3 linked regions of the Caenorhabditis elegans genome follow. The protein of the gene in region 3 purifies or fractionates together with the protein of the main gene of each other region. This does not show direct contact. Each region holds a gene or a part of one and is shown on either strand. Other genes may lie near its edges. The genes, in order: tufm-2, twk-37 and tsfm-1.

Region 1 (3,880 bases), on a different chromosome or scaffold from region 3:
TTTTTTGAATTTTTGAGAAATTGAAAATATTTGGTTTTCGATTTATCGAGAAATAGCTGGAATTTTTGTTAATTTTCTAATAACTTTTATTTCGATTTTTCAGTTTTTCAGACCAGGGCTGAGACATTGTTTTTGAATTTTTAAGAAAAATTTATTTTTTTTTTGGTTATTAAGACTAAAAATTCAAAAAAAAATTTCATTCTTTCTTGGTTTTTTTTTTAACAGGCATCAATTTTTTTTGGCTTTTTTTTTTGGTTTTTCGCAAATTTCAATTTTTTTATTTTGGTCAAAAACACTTTTTTTTCCAACAGCCGTGTTCTTTATCGAGATGTGAAAATTTGCGTCAAAAATACCGGCCTCAACACGACAAATTGTGAAAAATTATGCGCCTTGGAGGATTACTGTAATTTCAAACTCTAGTTCCGAAAATGTTCATCGATTTTGTTATCGTTTGTATCAGTCCGATCTGTCGAAATTTAAGTTTTTTAATTTTTTAAAAGCTTTTCTGAAGCTTTTTTCAATTAAAAAAGTACTTTTTTTTAATCGAAAACTATGAAAGTTTGAAATTACATTCATTTTTAAAGGTACACATCTTTTTTGTTTTTTATCAGAAATGTGTCGAGACCGGGTACTGTATGACTGGCGCACACAAAAACACTCAATCTTACAATTTACTTCTGGAAGCAAGTTGCGATGATTTCTGTGCTTCTGCGATGCTCTTGATATTCTTCAAAATTTGTGCTCCACGAATTTCAGAGTAATAACCCAGAAAATTATTAGGAACACGTGGCTGCTTCAGGAGCCAAACTCCAATTTTGATTATCGGTTCTTCATCGGTCATAATTTTGATTTCACTCAATCTGGGTGTCAATTCATTTTTTACAAAAGGTGCCGGATCCACGGTAATACTATTCTTCAGAAGAAAATTCTTGTAAGCTTTTTCAAGCATTGTATATCCAGTGTCCAGTGTGATTCTCATATTATCCGTTTGACTTCGATAATTTGGATGGGTTTCGAAAAATATGATTGCTTGCTGCAGACTTTCCATATTTTCGAGATAAGGGTCGAGATCGACGGACGGATTTCCACTATTTATTGCATTCTCAACAGTGCTAGTTTTTCCGTAAAATTGAAGAGTAGCGTCAATTGTATTGATGAGACGTTGGATATCTGGAAAATATCTTCTTTTTTTTAAAAGAAAACTGCCAAATTGACATACTATGCTGTTTCTTTTGCAATTTCCCGTTCGAAATATGCATCGGGAGCACATTCTTTTCAAGAGAGCTCAATCTCTGATCAAACTTTTCAACAACTTGTTCGATTCCTTGTCGTATCTGCGCGCTTTTCGCGATGTTCTTTTGAAAATTCTGTAGCCATTCTTCCTCCTGAAATGATTTAAATGATCAATCTTCTTTTTCAGCAAAAACAAACCTGAGCTAGTTTTTTGGCTATCGATTCGGCAGCATTTTGATCACTTGCCATTGGAAATATTCGAGAATTGACAGAGAAAAATGGAAAACAATAAAAATAATAAACAACCAACATGTGACCTAGTTACTTCCTAGGCCACGCGGCCGCGTACTCCTCGAGGACAAAATGAGTTGCCACGCAATTTTTGGAATTTTTTAAATTAAATTCAGGTTCCAGGTTTCTATGGTTTCAAAGTTACTAAAATTGTTATAACCGATTTTATTATAACATGAATTTCTCGGTGTTATAGGTAAAATGAACCCCGCTGCTTTGTCGGCATTCACACGATCTCTACTATTCAATCGATGCTCAACATCTTCATTTTGTAATTCAATCACACGAAATGCCGTCGCTTTCTTTGCCACTGCAGCTGCTACGCCAAAAATCAATGTAAATGTGGGAACTATTGGACACATCGATCACGGGAAAACAACTCTAACATCAGCAATCACAAGAGTTCAGGCTAAAAAAGGTTTAATTAATTTTTATATTATTCACAAATGAATTCAATTCTGCAGGTTTTGCGAAGCATATTAAATTTGACGAAATCGATAAGGGAAAAGAAGAAAAGAAACGTGGAATTACAATCAATGTCGCTCATATCGGCTATGAAAGTCCTCTGCGTCGATATTCCCACACTGATTGCCCCGGTCACTCGGATTTCATCAAAAATATGATTTGCGGAACTTCACAAATGGACGTGGCTGTTCTTGTGATTGCTGCAACCGACGGAGTCATGGAGCAAACCAAAGAACATTTGATTCTAGCCAAGCAAGTTGGTGTTAAAAATATGGCGATTTTCATCAATAAAGCGGATTTGGTTGAAGAAGATGATCTGGATTTGGTAGAAATGGAAGCACGGGAATTGTTGAGTCTGCATGGCTTTAATGGAGATGCGACTCCAGTTATTCGAGGTTCCGCTTTAAGTGCTCTAGAAGGACAAGATATTTCGTGTATCGAGAGATTGATTGATGCATTGGATTCACTTCCAGAGCCGGATAGAAATGAAAAGGATACTTTTGTAATGCCAATTGCATCGAAAACTGCTATCACTGGGCGAGGTAATTGAAAAAAGAAATATAAGGTGTGCCAATCAAGAATTTATTTTGCAAGAAAAAGTGCAAGAAATTTCAATAAATGACATTTTTTGCCACCCCTAATATTTAAAAAAAAACCAATTTAAAATGTTTTTCAGGAACAGTCATCGTCGGTACACTGGAAAGAGGTGTCTTGAAAAAAGGCGATAAAGTTGAAATCAAAGGAGACGGGCAAACTCTTCAAACGACTGCTTCGGATATCCAAGTTTTTGGCAAAAGTGTGAAGGAAGTTCGTGCTGGAGATCATTGTGGAGTTCTGTGTAGAGGAGTTAAAGGGGATACAGTGAAGAGAGGAATGTGGGCAGGACATCCAGGAGCAGTAACAATTACGAATCGAGTGAAAGTGGAACTTTATCTTCTCTCGGAGGCTGAAAATGGCAGGAAGATCGGAATTCGGACTGGTTTCACAGACAAAATGTACTGCAGTACTTGGGATCAAGTTGGTCGTTTCGATATGAGCAATGAGCTTCTGATGCCAGGAGAACATACTTCTGCTACAGTACTCTTGATGAAAGACATGCCACTCAGAAAAGGAATGCCGTTTACATTGAGAGAAGGAAGCAGTAAAACAACGATCGCTAGAGGAATCATCTCAGATCTAGAGGATCATGTGGCTGTAGAGAAACATAATCTTAAAAAGTCCGCTGAAAAGATGTAGTTCTTTATATATTACAGTATTGATTTATTTTAGGTTAGATTTTATTAGCTTGTTAACTACTATATCTTGTTTTGTTTTTGTTTTCTTTTGTCGAAATCTTCGAATAATATTTCACTACTTTTATTGTTCAAATAATACCATTCTCCTATTAATAGCAGTTTTACCTGATCTGCTCATTAATATCTTTATTTTTAATTTTCGTATTAAATAATAATTTATTTTTTAATTCCAGTTTAAAATGTCGGGGAGAGTCGACGAACAGCTCGACGACTTCCTCTGGGGAAAAACTGATGTTAAGGATTACTTGAAAAAGTAAGTCGCCAAATTTTGTGGATTTGGGTCTCGACACGACAATTTTTGTTTAATGAAAAATGGTACGCGCCTTTAAAGAGTACTGTAGCGTCGATTCTTCATAGTTTTTTGCAAAAAGTATATTCATTTATTTATTTTTTAAAAACTAAAATAGAACAACATAAACTTTAACAAATCGTAAGAAAAACTATGAAAAATCGATAAAAACTTCGCAGCATCGAAAGTTTTAAATTACAGTATTCTTTAAAGGCGCACACTTTGTCGAAAGATGGAGTACCGCCAGTAGAGAAATTTTTAAAAAACATAACTGTAGTGTTACATTATATTAATAAAAAATCAAATC
Region 2 (4,591 bases), on a different chromosome or scaffold from region 3:
GTGCGCCTTCTCAAGATGAACAGGATTCATGATTACTTGCAGTTGGAGGTTTGTGAAAACTAAATTATCAGTTCATCCCTAGAAAGCAAAGAGTTCATCCCTAGAGAGCAAAGATGCGGAATTTATCTAACTCGAGGTCTTTAACACTTCATAAAGCCATAGCTTGTAGTAAATGTAGTTTGCAATCTATGACGTCATCATTACACGAACTTCAAATCGTTGTAGGGTTGGAGTAGTAGGATAGACGTAGAGAATTTTGTTTTGTTTATGTCAGTTGCGTAGGGATCCTATGACTGCAGTTAAATGGTTAACAGTTGTTTTCATTACAGAAAGAGTTCATCACTCGTCAAACAAGCCGTCATGGTCGCCCTCTTGCTGTCCAAAAACGTCGTGAACAGCAATTAGTTCAAAGTCTCCGAGGAACTCCAACCACATTGGCTCGTGTCCACGAGCTTTTCGATGATGAGAAGCATGCCGTTGTGGTCGTTGAAGGTTCGAGACGTGAATGGTACGTACCAATTCTCTCGATCGTCGACAAGGACTTGCTTCGTCTGAATGCCCTCGTCATGGTGAAGGCTGGTGGAATGTTCAAAACAGTTCCAAGTGCAATCGTTGGAGTTTTGGATGACAAGATTGACAGCAATGCGATGGGACATAAAGTTGAGAAGACACCAAAAGAGACATTCGATGACATTGGAGGATGTGAGAGTCAAATTCAAGAGCTGAAAGAGTCTGTGGAACTTCCTCTTACTCATCCAGAGTACTATGAAGAAATGGGAATCACTGCTCCGAAAGGAGTTATTCTTTACGGTGAACCTGGAACTGGAAAGACGCTTTTGGCGAAAGCAGTTGCAAACTCAACATCTGCAACATTCATCCGTGCAACTGGATCCGATCTTGTTCAGAAACAAAGTGGGGAAGGTGCTCGTCTTGTTCGTCAAATCTTCCAAATGGCAAAGGAACAGGCTCCATCGATTGTATTCATTGATGAAATTGATGCAGTTGGTACGAAAAGATTTGATACTTCTTCACGTGGAGAACAAGAAGTTCAACGAACTCTTCTTGAGCTCTTAAATCAATTGGACGGGTTTGAAAGCCGTGGAGATGTCAAAATTATCATGGCAACGAACAGAATCGACTCGCTGGATCCCGCTCTTATCCGTCCTGGACGAATTGATAGAAAGATTGAGTTACCAAAACCAGATGAGAAGACTAGACAAAAGATTTTCACGGTTAGTCAATTCAACATTTCTTAAATAATTTTTATTTTTAGATCCACACCTCTGGAATGACGATTCAGAAAGCTGTCACCTATGAGAATGTATTGGGAAAGGAGAAGAGCATTAGTGGAGCTGAAATCAAGGCGGTTTGCACGGAAGCTGGTATGCTGGCTCTTCGTGCTCAACGAAAATGTGTCGGAACGGATGACTTTGAGAAGGCTGTCAAATCGGTTATGCTGTCGAAGAAGGGCGGAGCACCAGAAGGATTCTTCTCTTGACAATCGGAAATTCAATAAAGTACAAACGAGTTTACCCTAATGAACCTTTCTTCTCTTACAATGCCAGTGCAGATGTTTTTATGAACATCTGTAGTTAATTTCTTTGGTCTTTCTATGACCATAGACTGTTTGTTTTCGTAGTTTCTTTCCCTTCCAGAGCCTCAATTTGAAGAATTATGTTAACTTGATCCGAGGCGTTTTGAATACCGATCTCGAGTATAAATATTTTATTGTTTCAATGTGTTACTGTTTAACACAAGATGAGATTTGTCGTATACACTCAAATAGATACAAAAATAAATATCCAAATTTGTTTAAAAAATTTCAAACTCATTGAGCTCGCCAAGTTTCTTGAAAAAATTGTTTACGTACAGTTTTAAAAATTATAAAATTATTAAATACCACCATAACCAAGAAACGTGATATTTTCTGAGATGGCCAAAACTATTAAAAATCGATTTTTTAAAAGTCAGTTCTAATTTTTGGAGTCAATATCGTCCCAATGGTAGCATCAAATAGAAGACAATCGAGGTTTGCAGAATCATTGTTTTCATCTAAAAAAAACTACATTTTTCAGTTCAGATTCAATACCTTCAAATCAAAAATCACACAGCTCTAACCATCACACTTCTAATAGGTGAGTATAACTACAATCCACAGAAGAAAATTAGTTTGTAACCCACATGCTCGACATTTCGCTCCGTGCGATTGAAAGCTGGGAAATCGCGAAAATCTGCGACGATCTACGATAGCATGCGAAGAAATGCGCGGAAAATTCGAAACTAGGGGTAACCCGCAAAGATGTGCGACAATGTGCGAGAAAAAGCTGAAGCAAAATGTCGAGTTTCTGTATTATCTACACCAGGAAAATATAAAGACGACAGAATAGCTGTCAAATCTTCTCAAACAATACCCACTGCTTCACCACTGTCAATCCAAACTGCAATAGTCTTTCAGCGATGGAATGCAAACTCACACGGATCGACTTATTAATAAATTTATAAAGAGGCAAATGGAAAAATCTTCACCAGAAACTCAACATCTTGTCAGAAAGCAATCTATTTTAAAATTTGTTGAACGAAAGTCTAGAGCGGAAAGACCGAAGCCAACGAAATTACGAACAATTTTGAGAAAGATTCGAAGTGAGGATTTGGTTTATATTCTGCTTAAAGTAATGTTTCAAATTTCAGAATTTAATACAATAATTGCATTTGTGGTTCTTGTTGCATATATAATTGGTGGAGCTCTCTTGTTTTGGCAGATTGAATCGAGATCTGATATGAATGTTTGTAAAGCTTTTGTTTCTGTTGCAGATATATATTCATTGATAATATTTTCAGATTAATGAGTTCAAAAGAAATATTCGTCAGAAATCAATACACATCTACAATTCAATGAAAGGTAGCAAGTGTGGAAAATTGAAAAAGGTTTGTGAAAGTATTTCTGCATCTCTTTCAATTGAGCATACCCGGAAAACGCCTCGATACAATTTTCATCTATTTCAGGCAGATAATGAGTTGAACAACAATTGTATAAAAGAAATTTTTGACCTACTCTACGCTTCAAACCCTCCAAAGCATATAGAAGAGTTTCTGGATGGGCTGGCTTATGTAATCACTTGTATTACGACAATAGGTATGACTCGGGATTAACAAGTAAAATAGTATCAAAACTGATTTCGAACATTTTGAAAAATATTTTTAAAATTTTCTCCCGAGGTGTCGTCTAATCATTCTATTTTCTATTTCAGGGTACGGCGAACTTGTCTGTCACACAATTGCCGGTAAATTGGTTACTGTAGCTTATGGTATTATAGGAATTGCTCTAACACTCTACGTACTTCGCAACAATGGAAAAATAACGTTGAAAATATGCAATTTGACACTCAAAATTTTTGCAATTTGCGTTCGAAAATGGTAATTTAACATTTAAACATAAATAACCTCTTCTCAACTTTCCATATAAAATCTTTATTTGAGTTCATTATTTAGTTTTCAGTGGCAAAAAGTCGGCAAAGTATAAGATGACAGTACTGAAAGCTTTTATTCTTCTTGTCACATTTTGGGGCTTCGGAGCACTTGCAATTGCTGTCTATGAGGAGTTTGTATTCTATGATGCCTTGTACTTTTCTTTCAGTACATTTTCAACTATTGGATTTGGAGATTTTGTTCCGTCAGGTCATATCTCTGGAACTATTATTTGTGTATTACACTTTATCGATTTATCACTGATTTCAATGGTTTTAGTTCTCGTTCATGTAAGCTGTGAAGATTCCCTTGTAAGAAACCAAGTGTCTAAAGTTTACAAATTTCAGCATTCGATGGAAAACAGATTTATGAGAGTTTTGGAGCTCTTCGATGAACGGCATGCTACCGACACTTTAGAAACAAATATGATATCACCTGGTGCTTCTCAACGGAAACTTGCTGCAACGACTACAGCGAAGGAATGATTTCGATCCAGTGATCATAATTGATATCAGATTATTCTCAAAATTTAAAATATCTCTTTGCTTATTACAATTTTTATTGATATTCTTTTTGTGGTTTAATTCTTATTCTTTTTCGTCATTAAGAGAATGAAGAAATTACAAAAAGCTTCTTTTTTTGCACAATGAAAGGAAAAAAAAACTGCCCATTTAGAGATTTAATCCGGTAAAGGCTTGACAGAGGCGCCTCACACCCGCCTTTTTATTTGACCTCCCAGCGCCGTACCTATAACCTCATGTGCAATTTCTCGTTACGGAGTTAATTTTAGTAGCGCATTCGTGAATAACCTATTTGGTAATTGAATTTTTAATCTCTCAAACAACGGTGTTTGTGGCTAGTTAAAAAAAATTTATTGTTCTTTTCTTTCTGAAAATTATTTTCCAGGAATACGTGCAGCTCACGCAAATACCGTCATTTGTGAAAACGCAATCATTAATTATCAAACAATTTATTTTCGATTATCATTTGTGAAAGTTTTCCCATGAAAACAATGAATCTCGTCTATTTGATACTTGTCTCGTTTCTACCCTCATCAGCCTTCGTCAGCTGCTCATTTACCAAGTCTGGAAAACAAATTCTTCAACAAATTTTTGAAGGCGATAAA
Region 3 (3,762 bases):
AAATGGGAACATCTGGAATATAAAACTATGAGGAATGTTCGGTGATCTTTCGTATTTTTTGCCATGTCAATGGAACTGAAACCGTCTAACTTGATGATAATGACCAAGATAGTCCCTTCAGTTTTGGAACAAGAGTAACAGACTCAGCAACAATATTTGTTTCAGATTGTCTTGATAAATTGCCAAATCTAAGAACGATACAATTTAGAACAATATCGCATGTTTCAACAAAGAGCTCAGTGATACTACAGTACACCTACATCACCAATTACTCCTACAGTACCAATACAGTACCCCAAAAATATATATGTTTTCTGAGTGTTCTCAGCAGTTTTCTCGTATTTTTACTATATTACAACAATTGTTTTAAATTTTCGCGGATTGTGACCTTAAAATACATTTGATTTCGACAGAAATCCGAGTGACCATGAATTTCTGAAATAAAATAAATGCATTTTAATCGTCTTCTTGTTCAATTGTTTTCCACGGAGGAATGTTCTGAAAATTGCAAATGTTTATTTTTTAAACTTTAAATTCAATTTATATGTCGATAAATTTATTTATCGATTAACAAAACAGAGAAACAAAAGCATTCTAAAAACTAATAAGGCATGAAAATAAAGTTACTACCACTTTTATCTAATTATTCGCTTCCAAGCTCTACACGAACAAAATCGAGAATGTTAGCATTGTGGGATTTTAGGTACTCATGAACAGATTGAGATGGATTCAACATGAAGGCTTGGCGGAGAAGAGCAGTTTCCGATTCATCAATATTAGTTACAACAACTGGATCAGCATTTGGATCATGCCCTTCTTGACTACGAAGCCCTTCTTGAGTTTTCACAGATTCTGCAGCTTCGCCGAGGGATTCCGGGGACATTCCGATAATGTGCTGGCATATCTGTCCGGCAAGTTGCTGACTACTGATTGACCCTGTAAATGTTAAGACTTAATTTTTTACTTTATTTCTTTGTTTCACCTGGACTCGATTGATTTAGAGCGATGAGTGAAATGAACCGTCCCATCGGGATATCATCAGTTCCATCTTTAGGATGTGAAGCTCCAAACAAAGTTGTTCCTTCGGGAGCTTTAAAAGCCTTAACTCTTCTCACTGTCATGTTCTCACCAAGCTTTCCGATTGAAAGGGAGAGCACTTCACGCATATTTTTTCCGTCGGAATCGGTCAGATCCCCAAGATCATAGGTGAATTCTTGAAGTTTTGAGCCGCTCGATATAGATTGTGGCTTAGCTTTTGCGAGAACAGAGTTGGAGATGTTTGACAACAAATCCTTGAAAGCTCCAGATCGCGCCACAAAATCAGTTTCACAACTGAGTTCTACCACAGCTGCTGTTGAGTTGTCCGTGACTACAGATACAAGACCATTCGATGTTACACGAGTTCCAAGTCTGGAATATTCTATAACTATTAAAATAATTCCTTGTGAAGTCAACATTCCAAATTAAAAAAATTTCAAAATAAACACTTACTTTGCCGCTTTGGCCCATCCTTCCTTCGCTGCAGCTTCTTTCAACCATTTTACAGCACTATCCATATCATTTTCGCCAAACTGAATAAGTGCTTTACGACAATTCACATAACTATAACCAGTCTTTTTTCGAAGAGCCATTAGAGCCTGAAAAACAATTATTTTTTATTTTTTAAAATTAATTAGGGTTCCTAGATTTTAATACCTCTTTAGAGACTTTCTTTTCGGCCTCAGCCAAGTTTCGACTAGTCGTTGATAGTAGACGTACAAATGGAGCTCTAGCAAACATTTCTAAAATTGGAAACTTTAGTTTTCAGTCAATATTGATAATTATTTTAAGAGAATAAAGCAAATTATGCAATTTTCTGGGCATTTTTTGCATTAAAAAATGAAAAGGCAAGTGCGCCCCAATGAGAAAGACGGCCGCGCGAAAGAATTCGTTTTGAACATAACAAGGAAAATGTGTTTCTTTTTTTTTAATTGCGAGGTAAATTATATTATTGAATTATTTTATTGATTATTTATAATTATTTTTAGGTGAAAACTTTAATACTATTATTTTTTGCTATTTTTTTGTTGAAATAAATTCTATAATTCCATAGAAATTTTCAGTAAAGAGATCAATGCCGAAGAGCAATCCGGTAACACCTAACAAACAACCATCAGAAGACTGGAATGAGTTACTCACAGAGTTCCGTGGAAAAGGAGGTCGGGCTCTTCAGAAAACATTCATCAGAAAATTGTGGGCAGTTCAAGAAGATATTATTGCCAATGCAAATCCATCGACTCTTCGGTGTATTTTCTTCGCACCAGCCTTGTTGATTTGTCCGGAAGGTATAAAATTATCAGCTGAAATTCTCCCAAAAATTGGTGTTGGAAATGGACTGATACTACTCGAGAAGTTAATACTAAAGTTCAATCTCACCGAGTAAAGTTTATACGCTGAAGAATTCCATTTATATATATTTTTGCAGCACTGAATGTCAAAGGTATGGTGAAGTATTCGTCACAGCTTGGAGAAATGCATATCAGGAGGCTAACTTTGATTTGACAGAGGAATTGGAGACCGATGTGATCAGTGTCATGTGTCAGCATGCATTATATGCTCACAGGCCTACCTGCACTAAATTTCAAAATGTGATTGCCGCATTTGCACACGCGAAAAAACTGGACAAAAGTGTAGATGAAATGGTGACAAGGCTTCTCAATGGATGTCTTTACCGAGCGCTGGACGCTCCAAATTACATTGTACAGTCATCAGCTGCAGAAGTATTTTTCAATTTTTACCCACTAATTGGCGAGGATACTGAAGACATGGATAGGATAATGGAAAACCAACATCGATATATGATGGACTTATTACGTAGTGATGTTATTTCCATTCGAAGCGAAGCCACGAAACATGTCTTGAAGGCAATCAGCGAATTCTGGCTTCTTATTCCAAAAAATATCGTGAAGGAACTCATGGGATACATCATTGATACAGTCGCGAAAGACACTGTTGTCAGCGTCCGCGTCGCCGTTTTTGAAGGTCTTAATGAAATGGCATTTGTTCCGGCATGTCTCACAGCATTCGAATATGGATTGAAATGTGCCGTTGATCCAGCACTACAGGATAAATCTGAACGAGTTCGTCTTGCTGCTTACCAAATAATTTCTCGTCTGAAGAATCATAAATTTATTAGGTAAAATGAACCCAAATCAACAAACTAAAAAATAAATTTTCAGTGTGTTCGATATCATTACTCGAGATGATGCCATTGCGAAACTCGATCTGGAAAACGTAGAGACCTGCCGCCGTCAACTGATTCCAATTATGCATATTTGTCTTCCTATCTCGAAAAGTCTGGATGAAGCATACTATCGTCCTCGTGTCAACTACATGTTAGGAAAAAGTCGATTGGCTCTTTTGAGTTACTTCCGATTGCTTGGCCCAATGAAAATCATTGATGCATCCCAAGCATCCAAACTTATCGAAATGTTTATAACCTGGGCATATCGTTATCTTCGTAAAAAGGATGGCCCTCCATTACCAGAGACTGCCGAAGGATACAAAAAAGCGAGAGCTTATCTTGAGTGTGCTCTCATTCTGTACATGTCATGCAAAGGAGTTAGTTTTCTATTTCTCAAATTTAAAATTGAAGACCTTTTTTAAAACATTATAAACTTCTAAACTTTTTCAGATGCTGATGTCAGATGGCGATGGAACTTCAAAAGCGAAATGTGATCAAATATTTGGAAAAGTTGTCAAGGAAATATTTGAAAAATACGC

The links.
Region 1: the proteins of tsfm-1 (region 3) and tufm-2 purify together in Caenorhabditis elegans (co-purification; one study listed by BioGRID). This does not show direct contact.
Region 2: the proteins of tsfm-1 (region 3) and twk-37 fractionate together in Caenorhabditis elegans (co-fractionation; one large-scale study listed by BioGRID). This does not show direct contact.

What each region holds. Positions count from the first base shown.
Region 1 is NC_003279.8:4,246,036-4,249,915, forward strand, and holds tufm-2 (protein-synthesizing GTPase), read left to right. Parts: upstream 1-1,717; 5' UTR 1,718-1,725; coding exon 1,726-1,942; intron 1,943-1,988; coding exon 1,989-2,531; intron 2,532-2,665; coding exon 2,666-3,225; 3' UTR 3,226-3,380; downstream 3,381-3,880. Other genes in the region: exoc-7 (Exocyst complex component 7), read right to left, coding at 669-1,170, 1,220-1,385, 1,432-1,545; cogc-5 (Conserved oligomeric Golgi complex subunit 5), read left to right, coding at 3,464-3,537.
Region 2 is NC_003279.8:6,268,920-6,273,510, reverse strand, and holds twk-37 (Potassium channel domain-containing protein), read left to right. Parts: upstream 1-1,977; 5' UTR 1,978-2,000; coding exon 2,001-2,029; intron 2,030-2,075; coding exon 2,076-2,135; intron 2,136-2,455; coding exon 2,456-2,640; intron 2,641-2,688; coding exon 2,689-2,783; intron 2,784-2,838; coding exon 2,839-2,925; intron 2,926-3,003; coding exon 3,004-3,133; intron 3,134-3,248; coding exon 3,249-3,414; intron 3,415-3,496; coding exon 3,497-3,755; intron 3,756-3,812; coding exon 3,813-3,950; 3' UTR 3,951-4,091; downstream 4,092-4,591. Other genes in the region: C10G11.8 (AAA+ ATPase domain-containing protein), read left to right, coding at 1-48, 330-1,232, 1,274-1,498; oac-9 (Nose resistant-to-fluoxetine protein N-terminal domain-containing protein), read left to right, coding at 4,478-4,591.
Region 3 is NC_003283.11:12,269,771-12,273,532, forward strand, and holds tsfm-1 (Elongation factor Ts, mitochondrial), read right to left. Parts: upstream 1,782-3,762; 5' UTR 1,780-1,781; coding exon 1,696-1,779; intron 1,638-1,695; coding exon 1,492-1,637; intron 1,411-1,491; coding exon 983-1,410; intron 937-982; coding exon 644-936; 3' UTR 501-643; downstream 1-500. Other genes in the region: capg-2 (CAP-G condensin subunit), read left to right, coding at 2,114-2,418, 2,465-3,175, 3,219-3,600, 3,674-3,762. UniProt on the Caenorhabditis elegans protein: Associates with the EF-Tu.GDP complex and induces the exchange of GDP to GTP. It remains bound to the aminoacyl-tRNA.EF-Tu.GTP complex up to the GTP hydrolysis stage on the ribosome.